2 linked regions of the Xenopus tropicalis genome follow. The protein of the gene in region 2 purifies or fractionates together with the protein of the main gene of each other region. This does not show direct contact. Links are inferred from orthologs where the notes say so. Each region holds a gene or a part of one and is shown on either strand. Other genes may lie near its edges.

Region 1 (3,819 bases), about 50 Mb from region 2:
CATTTTATCCTCACAGCAAATGCCTACACTTATGGGTGCGGTTGATGATCCGATGCCTGTTGCTTAGAAATGTTAAGCCAACGGCGAGTGAGCCTTCTGTCCTGGCAACCAAAATCTTTATGCCGTGGCTCTCCGTGGGAAGGAGACGCACATGGTGGCATCATCCCTTCGTGGTAACTTAGTTTTGGGAATTCAGTGCCCAATTTTGTTGGTTCTTGGTGGTGAAGTTTTCTTGTAATATAGATTTATAGCTCCCTAAGCTTTTGTTGCCTTATGATCTAAGGGAGAGGGGTATTTCCTCATGATAGTATCCAAGTACTGGGGTAAGAATTACCTGCCTAATGTTACTCTGTGCCAGTGCCCAGCTTGCAGCCGGCTAGCAAGGTGCATCTGTTCAAAGAAGGGCTAAAACACTTGATGGGCCTGTATATTCACCCATATACATTGCTGGAACAGTCCAGGCATGAAAATCTTTAAATACCTGCTCACCGGGATGTGCCATTTGCATTGGAATAGTTACACTGACTTGCCCTTTGGGCTGAATGTAAGCCTAAAAATACTCTCCTACTGTGCTTCACTATAGTAAAGTGCGTGTTCCCTGGGTTGGGCCGTTGTGCGCTACTATAGGAGCCATTAGCAGAAGGTGTGGCAGGCTCTTGGAATAAATATACCCAACTGGTTTCATTACATAATTGCTGGCTACAAGGAGAAGAACTTGATCAACACCATTTCTTAAACTGGCCCCAAGGATCAGCCTTATTAACAATGTGTGGGGTGGGCTAGGTGGCTTTTTATGATGGTGGTTCTTACAGTGAATTGTAGGTTGGTCATTGTGGATCTGTACATAGTCCTGCGGTCTGTCCATCTGTGCTCACCCAGTGCAGCTCCAGATAATAGCACCTGCTCATTATTTCAGCTGACAGGAAATAATGCACTGTAATAGGAAGGGGTGTGGGGGTGAAATACACACCCCCTGTCATATCATTGGCTAATATAGCGTAGCATGCATGCCCTTGTGTCAGCACAGTGCATAATATGAGCCAGGGGGGCTACGGAACTGGCAAATATTAGTGATGAGTTTTCCTGTTTCGCTTTGCCAAAAAGTATGTGAAACTGCAAAATTACGCAAAACGCATGGAAGTTAATGGGCTTCTCTTTGCAGTTACCACAACTTTGTTTTCATGGCTATTAGAGTCTATGGGTGTTTTAAGGCAAAACGTTGTGAAATATTTCTCTTACCACTAGCACATTGTTAGCCTTTTCATAAAAATATTTTTCTATTAATACACAAGCCATGGATATGCTGTAAATGATATCCTTATAAATAGCCATTAGTGATGTCATCCATTATAATCAGTAATGTCATTTCTGTCACTGAGGACTTCTAATACCCTCAGAGTTTCATGACCTGTAGAAAAGCACTCTGCCTTCATGCCCATGCTTTTATATGGTCATGGAACTTTTTTTGTTTAATAGGGGGTACATTATTCACACTATATATAAATATATTTCTTCAAGAGAGGGTGTAATACACCCGCGTGTATGTTGAGGGGTATAGTTTCCCTTTGCATAAGACGGCAGTGGTGCTGCTCAGGGTTAGAAGTCACTCAGTCCTGGCTGGTTTGTACTGGAATTAATCCTACGTCATCTCTACCTGGCTGGGCTCCAGTGTGAGGCTGGAATGCCGTCTCACTCACAGGCCATTACGGCTATTAACTCCTCTCTGCTGGGATAGGACTGTACCACTGCACATTGTGTTTTCCCTCCACCGTTCTCTTTGGGTGATTTAACCTTTTAAGGTGCAGAGTTCTCTCTCAAAATAATATTTTTGAGGTATTTCTGCTTAATATTTCACATTAGGTTTCTTATCTTGCATTTGTCTGCACTCTAGGGATACCATAACATGATCTGTGTTATAACCAAGCCCCCTGGGTCAGTGTGGCAACCTAGCCTGGTAGAGGAAGAGTTAACAATGGCAGTCATGTGTGATGGAAAGACTGCAAAGGAGCGCCTAGGAATTGACATGGGAACTGATCCCAAACTCCGGCAGAGGACAGCCTGTCCCTTGTGCCTTAAAGTCACTTTATTATTGACAGAGCCGGTGGCACAATGAGTGGGAGCAGTGGCTAATACATACAAACCAGCCTGCTCCGCCTGAGGAAAGCCTATACCCCCATTAAATTTACAATATGCCCCGCTCTGCTGGCTCTCCTGGCCATCAGGACTGTAATTACTGTCAAACAAGATACCCTGACCCTCTCACATTCCCCCACTCACCCTTCTCATGACTCCCCGGCAGGCCTAAAATAGCAGCCATCCCCTGACCTTGTGGTTGGCCTATAAACTAGCACTCTAGCTAGCAGCCTTTTCTTTACTTTCTCTCTCCTCATGGGGCTTCCATGCCAGCATTGTGTACCCCAGTGCCATGGGGACCTAACGGAGAATGTTAGGAGTGCAATAGGTGCTGCCATAGTGCAAATATAGGCCTTACAGCTGTGTACATAACATATAGCGTGGTTGCCTTCTCTCCAGGGACTCTGTGTTCCAGTGCCAAAGGGAAATGCCTTGCTGACTGTATGAGAGTGCCAAATCCTTTATATCCATACCAAGCCCGATTGTGTGATGAAATAGCAAGAGAATTTACTGTGGTAATGCATACGTTTGCTTCTTTTCCCTTTTTAGTCATGGGACATCTTTTTCCGCAACGCAAATGCTGGCGCATCCCCTGGTGCAGCTTACCAGAGCCCGCCTCCTCTCGGCAGCAGCTTGTCCACCCTTACCCAGGCCCAGTCGTTGGTGCAGGCCCAACCTAATATAGACAAGCTTGTGGAGGATCATCTCGCTGTGCAGTCGCTCATCCGTGCTTATCAGGTACAGAGGATCCTATTGTGCCCAGCTTTATACACTTGCACTGAGTATCTCAGTCTTTGATTGATAGTTGCATTGCAGAAAAGAGGAAAAAATGTGCATTTTACTTTTGTTTTGTTCCCCCAAGCGTCTGTAAAGTTGCTGCACATTTCGCTTGCTGGAATCCGCCATTGCCTCTCTTGCCGAGTGGTCACAACTTTAAAGTCTCCCGTTTGTTCTAATCCCATTGCAGATTACAAGAAGTTAGCAGGGGGCATGGCCTAGCACCTCAGGGGTGTGGTTAGTTCAATGTAGCTTTTTCTTATATGACTTTCTTATAACTGTCGTGAAATACATCTCCCAGCATCCTCAGCCTGCAGCCGATGGCTAGGAGCTTGTAACAAAGAAGGCAACCAGTGGGTTTTCCAGGGGATTTTCATGGCACCACAGTTTGGGGGGGGGGGGGGGGGGCTGGAGGAAGTGTGGCCCATCTTTTTAACATGTTTTGTCATTGCTTCCAGGTGAGGGGTCATCACATTGCAAAGCTTGACCCGCTTGGAATTAGTTCTGTTAATTTTGATGGGGCTCCGGTGATAGTCGGATCTCCAAATATGGGTGAGAATCATTTTGTCAGACTTGTTGTAACTTTTTCTCTTTTTCCTGTGCTTTTTCCTCTTCTTGTTATCTTTACCTTTCTGTGTCCTCTTCACCCAACTGTCCCTTTCTGTGCTTTGCCACCTTTCCATCCTTTCTGCCTCTTCTCCTCCCCTGCCCCCCCCAACCTGCCTTCCCCTGTATCTGACTGCAACTCCCACTCCATGCTTATCTGCACCTGCTCCCAATCATCTTCCTACTGTTCCTACTGTCTATTTCAACCCCTCCCATGTCCTGTCCTTGGAACCTTGAATTCATATAGATCCGTGGGCACCATGTTGCTCAGCTTGACCCTCTTGGCATTCTGGATGCAGATCT
Region 2 (3,819 bases):
AAAAACCGTTAACTATTAGTCAAAGATAACATAATTGAACACAAAATGCAGTTTTTAAATGAAGGTTCACATTATTAAGGGAGAAAAAAAACTCCAAATCTACATGGCCCTGTGTGAAAAAGTGATTGCCCCCCTTGTTAAAAAATAACTTAACTGTGGTTTATCAATTTCAATTTTCAATTTCAATATCAATTTCTGTAGTCACCCCCAGGCCTGATTACTGCCACACCTGTTTCAATCAAGAAATCACTTAAATAGGAGCTACCTGACACAGAGAAGTAGACCAAAAGCACCTCAAAAGCTACACATCATGCCAAGATCCAAAGAAATTCAGGAACAAATGAGAACAAAAGTAATTGAGATCTATCAGTCTGGTAAAGGTTATAAAGCCATTTCTAAAGCTTTGGGACTCCAGCAAACCACAGTGAGAGCCATTATCCACAAATGGCAAAAACATGGAACAGTGGTGAACCTTCCCAGGAGTGGCCGGCCGACCAAAATTACCCCAAGAGCGCAGAGACAACTCATCCGAGAGGCCACAAAAGACCCCAGGACACCATCTAAAGAACTGCTGGCCTCACTTGCCTCAATTAAGGTCAGTGTTCACGACTCCACCATAAGAAAGAGACTGGGCAAAAACGGCCTGCATGGCAGATTCCCAAGGCGCAAACCACTTTTAATCAAAAAGAACATTATGGCTCGTCTCAATTTTGCTAAAAAACATCTCAATGATTGCCAAGACTTTTGGGAAAATACCTTGTGGACCGACGAGACAAAAGTTGAACTTTTTGGAAGGTGCGTGTCCCGTTACATCTGGCGTAAAAGTAACACAGCATTTCAGAAAAAGAACATCATACCAACAGTAAAATATGGTGGTGGTAGTGTGATGGTCTGGGGTTGTTTTGCTGCTTCAGGACCTGGAAGGCTTGCTGTGATAGATGGAACCATGAATTCTACTGTCTGCCAAAAAATCCTGAAGGAGAATGTCTGCCATCTGTTCGTCAACTCAAGCTGAAGCGATCTTGGGTGCTGCAGCAGGACAATGACCCAAAACACACCAGCAAATCCACCTCTGAATGGCTGAAGAAAAACAAAATGAAGACTTTGGAGTGGCCTAGTCAAAGTCCTGACCTGAATCCTATTGAGATGTTGTGGCATGACCTTAAAAAGGCGGTTCATGCTAGAAAACCCTCAAATAAAGCTGAATTACAACAATTCTGCAAAGATGAGTGGGCCAAAATTCCTCCAGAGCGCTGTAAAGGACTCGTTGCAAGTTATCGCAAACGCTTGATTGCAGTTATTGCTGCTAAGGGTGGCCCAACCAGTTATTAGGTTCAGGGGGCAATTACTTTTTCACACAGGGCCATGTAGGTTTGGATTTTTTTTCTCCTTAAATAATAAAAACCCTCATTTAAAAACGGCATTTTGTGTTTACTTGTGTTATCTTTGACTAATAGTTAAATGTGTTTGATGATCAGAAACATTTTGTGTGACAAACATGCAAAAGAATAAGAAATCAGGAAGGGGGCAAATAGTTTTTCACACCACTGTATACTGAGGATTTTTACCATTAAATACAATTTTCTAATTTTAACCAGACAGACTCAACCATCACAAAATGATGCAAATGACCTCAATCAAACTCTTACTTATTGGTAGATGATCTGATCATACATGCCTGCTGCAGTTCGCCAGCTTCTTTACCACATGATTTTGCCCTGCCACATTATAGCACAATGTTATGCTAATAGTATGACTTTATTGGCTAATGACCTAGCCTTTCTCCACATTGTCTTTAAAGGAGAAGGAAAGGCATTTTGGCATTTTATTGCCCAAACATTAGCCACAACAGTGCCACCTAGAACTCTATAATTATTCTACAGAAAGCTTTACCATACATGAATAAACAGCCCTAGAAGCTCTCTCTGTTTAAGATTGCAGCTGCCATTTTAGCTTGGTCTTAGTAGCTTCCCTGCTGCAGCTCTAGCAATGTTCCATAGTTATTTTTGTGTCCCTCAAACTTCTGACATAAGTTTAATCAATAGCAACACTTTATTTACTAATTGTTTTCATGCAAATATAAAAGAAGACATGACTACAGAGCACGGCAATGTTTTTCCTAGTATAGAATATTAGAGAACAAGTTTGTTTCTCTTATTGTTTGGTGTAATAAGTTTGTTAAGGACACCCATTAAAGGAGACGGTAATGTAAAAACTAAGTAGCTTTTACTAGTGCCCTTTCTTTTGATGAGAAAGGGGACTGAATTAGGCCTTCCTGAGGGTCAATCCACCATCACTGCTTACACACCTTATCTCCCTTATGTAGCTGTGCTTGCATCTTGCTGTACTGCTCTATTGACTTGTTGAATTGCTAAAACTTAAATAAAGTTTACCTTAAAAAATCAAACTAAGAAAAAAACAAAGGTAAAAACATTCTGTTAACATTAATTTTTAGAAACTAGGCAGTATATACCAAAAGGACATATGAAAGTAAAGCAAAATAAAACTTATGAACTTACCAATTCAACACCGATGACACCAGCACCAATTACCACCATTTTCTCAGGCACTTGCTTAAGAGACAATGCTCCGGTAGAAGATACAATTGTTTCTTCGTCAATCTAGAACAAAATTAGAACAATCATCTCTCAATAGACAAACAGCACACTCTTAAAGGACAATGAAAGGTTAATATAAATTAAAAGTAAGTCTAAAGACATTATTTTTAAGTACTTACTGCATATCTAAATTCCCAGATCCCTGCTTGCTTCTCTGAGATATGGTGCTGGCAGCCTACAGCAGTGTGAAGACTACAGTGACATCACTGAAATCTCTCTTCCCTTCCTGTAGGCTGCCAGCGGCAGACTTCCTATTCTCTGAGCATGTGTGTAACTTGATCCTGTCTCCGGTTCTGAGCTACACATGCCCACCAGCCAATCAGAAGCGGATCTGACAGAGGGGAGGGGGGGGGGAGGAAATGAAACACGTGCAGTATGAAGCAAGGAGGGAAAGGAAGGGAGAATACCTTTTTAGAGATGGCTGCCTGTTCTAGAAAATGTGAAGTAAGTGTGACTGAGTAAATATTTGATTAGGTGAGCCAAAAGTGTGGCATTTTTACTAAACAATAGGAGGACTATTGGGCAGTATGCTTTTTAAATTTTGACTTGCATTCTCCTTTAATTGTAGTTCTGGAAAAAAAATATTGTACTTTTTACAAACTTCTCTTTGTCTTATAGCTTTTCCAAGGAGAAGCTACAAGGGTAATAAAAAGCAACCAACCCAGTATAGAAGAAGCTGACAGTCAGTATATGTAGCCTACTGCTTTGACAGCTACAGCACTAGGAGCCCCCTTGTGACCAAATGACTGCCATGCCTGTAAAAACCTAAACAAGGCTAATACTGTAGCTTATACTCAAGCTAAGTATGCCTCACTGCCTCTTGTACTTGCTTGTACATGCTTAGCTCTTGGTTAAGAATCAGGGTTAACAAACCACAAATTCAAAAGAGGAGAGAATAGACACATGAGAATAAAGCAAAGTGGTCTAGTTTCTTGAGTCAAGAAATTATAATCAAAGAGTACAATGTAAGATACCGGAATTCCTGAGAAGGGAGCAACCTCTGAGCCTGTTGCAATAAGAATGTTCTTTGTGTTGATGACTTGGGTGCTTCCATCTGCCTTTGTTGCTGTTACTTGATTTTTGCCTGTAATCCTTCCAAATCCTTGAACATGTACTACCTAAGTTAAAAAAGATGTGTTGAAAAAGAAAATGCATAGTAATTAAAGTTTGCAGATATCACTTATTGTAGCCCTTGCTAGCA

Evidence for each region.
Region 1: the proteins of dld (region 2) and ogdh purify together in Homo sapiens (affinity purification with mass spectrometry; 3 studies listed by BioGRID and IntAct, counting the BioPlex papers as one, with this or other methods). This does not show direct contact. The link is inferred for Xenopus tropicalis from reciprocal best matches to the Homo sapiens genes DLD and OGDH.

The regions. Positions count from the first base shown.
Region 1 is NC_030679.2:126,371,498-126,375,316, reverse strand, and holds part of ogdh (2-oxoglutarate dehydrogenase, mitochondrial), read left to right. Parts: intron 1-2,682; coding exon 2,683-2,871; intron 2,872-3,368; coding exon 3,369-3,462; intron 3,463-3,763; coding exon of another isoform or gene 3,764-3,819. UniProt on the Homo sapiens protein: 2-oxoglutarate dehydrogenase (E1o) component of the 2-oxoglutarate dehydrogenase complex (OGDHC). Participates in the first step, rate limiting for the overall conversion of 2-oxoglutarate to succinyl-CoA and CO(2) catalyzed by the whole OGDHC.
Region 2 is NC_030679.2:76,049,177-76,052,995, forward strand, and holds part of dld (dihydrolipoyl dehydrogenase, mitochondrial), read right to left. Parts: intron 3,737-3,819; coding exon 3,593-3,736; intron 2,622-3,592; coding exon 2,520-2,621; intron 1-2,519. UniProt on the Homo sapiens protein: Lipoamide dehydrogenase is a component of the glycine cleavage system as well as an E3 component of three alpha-ketoacid dehydrogenase complexes (pyruvate-, alpha-ketoglutarate-, and branched-chain amino acid-dehydrogenase complex).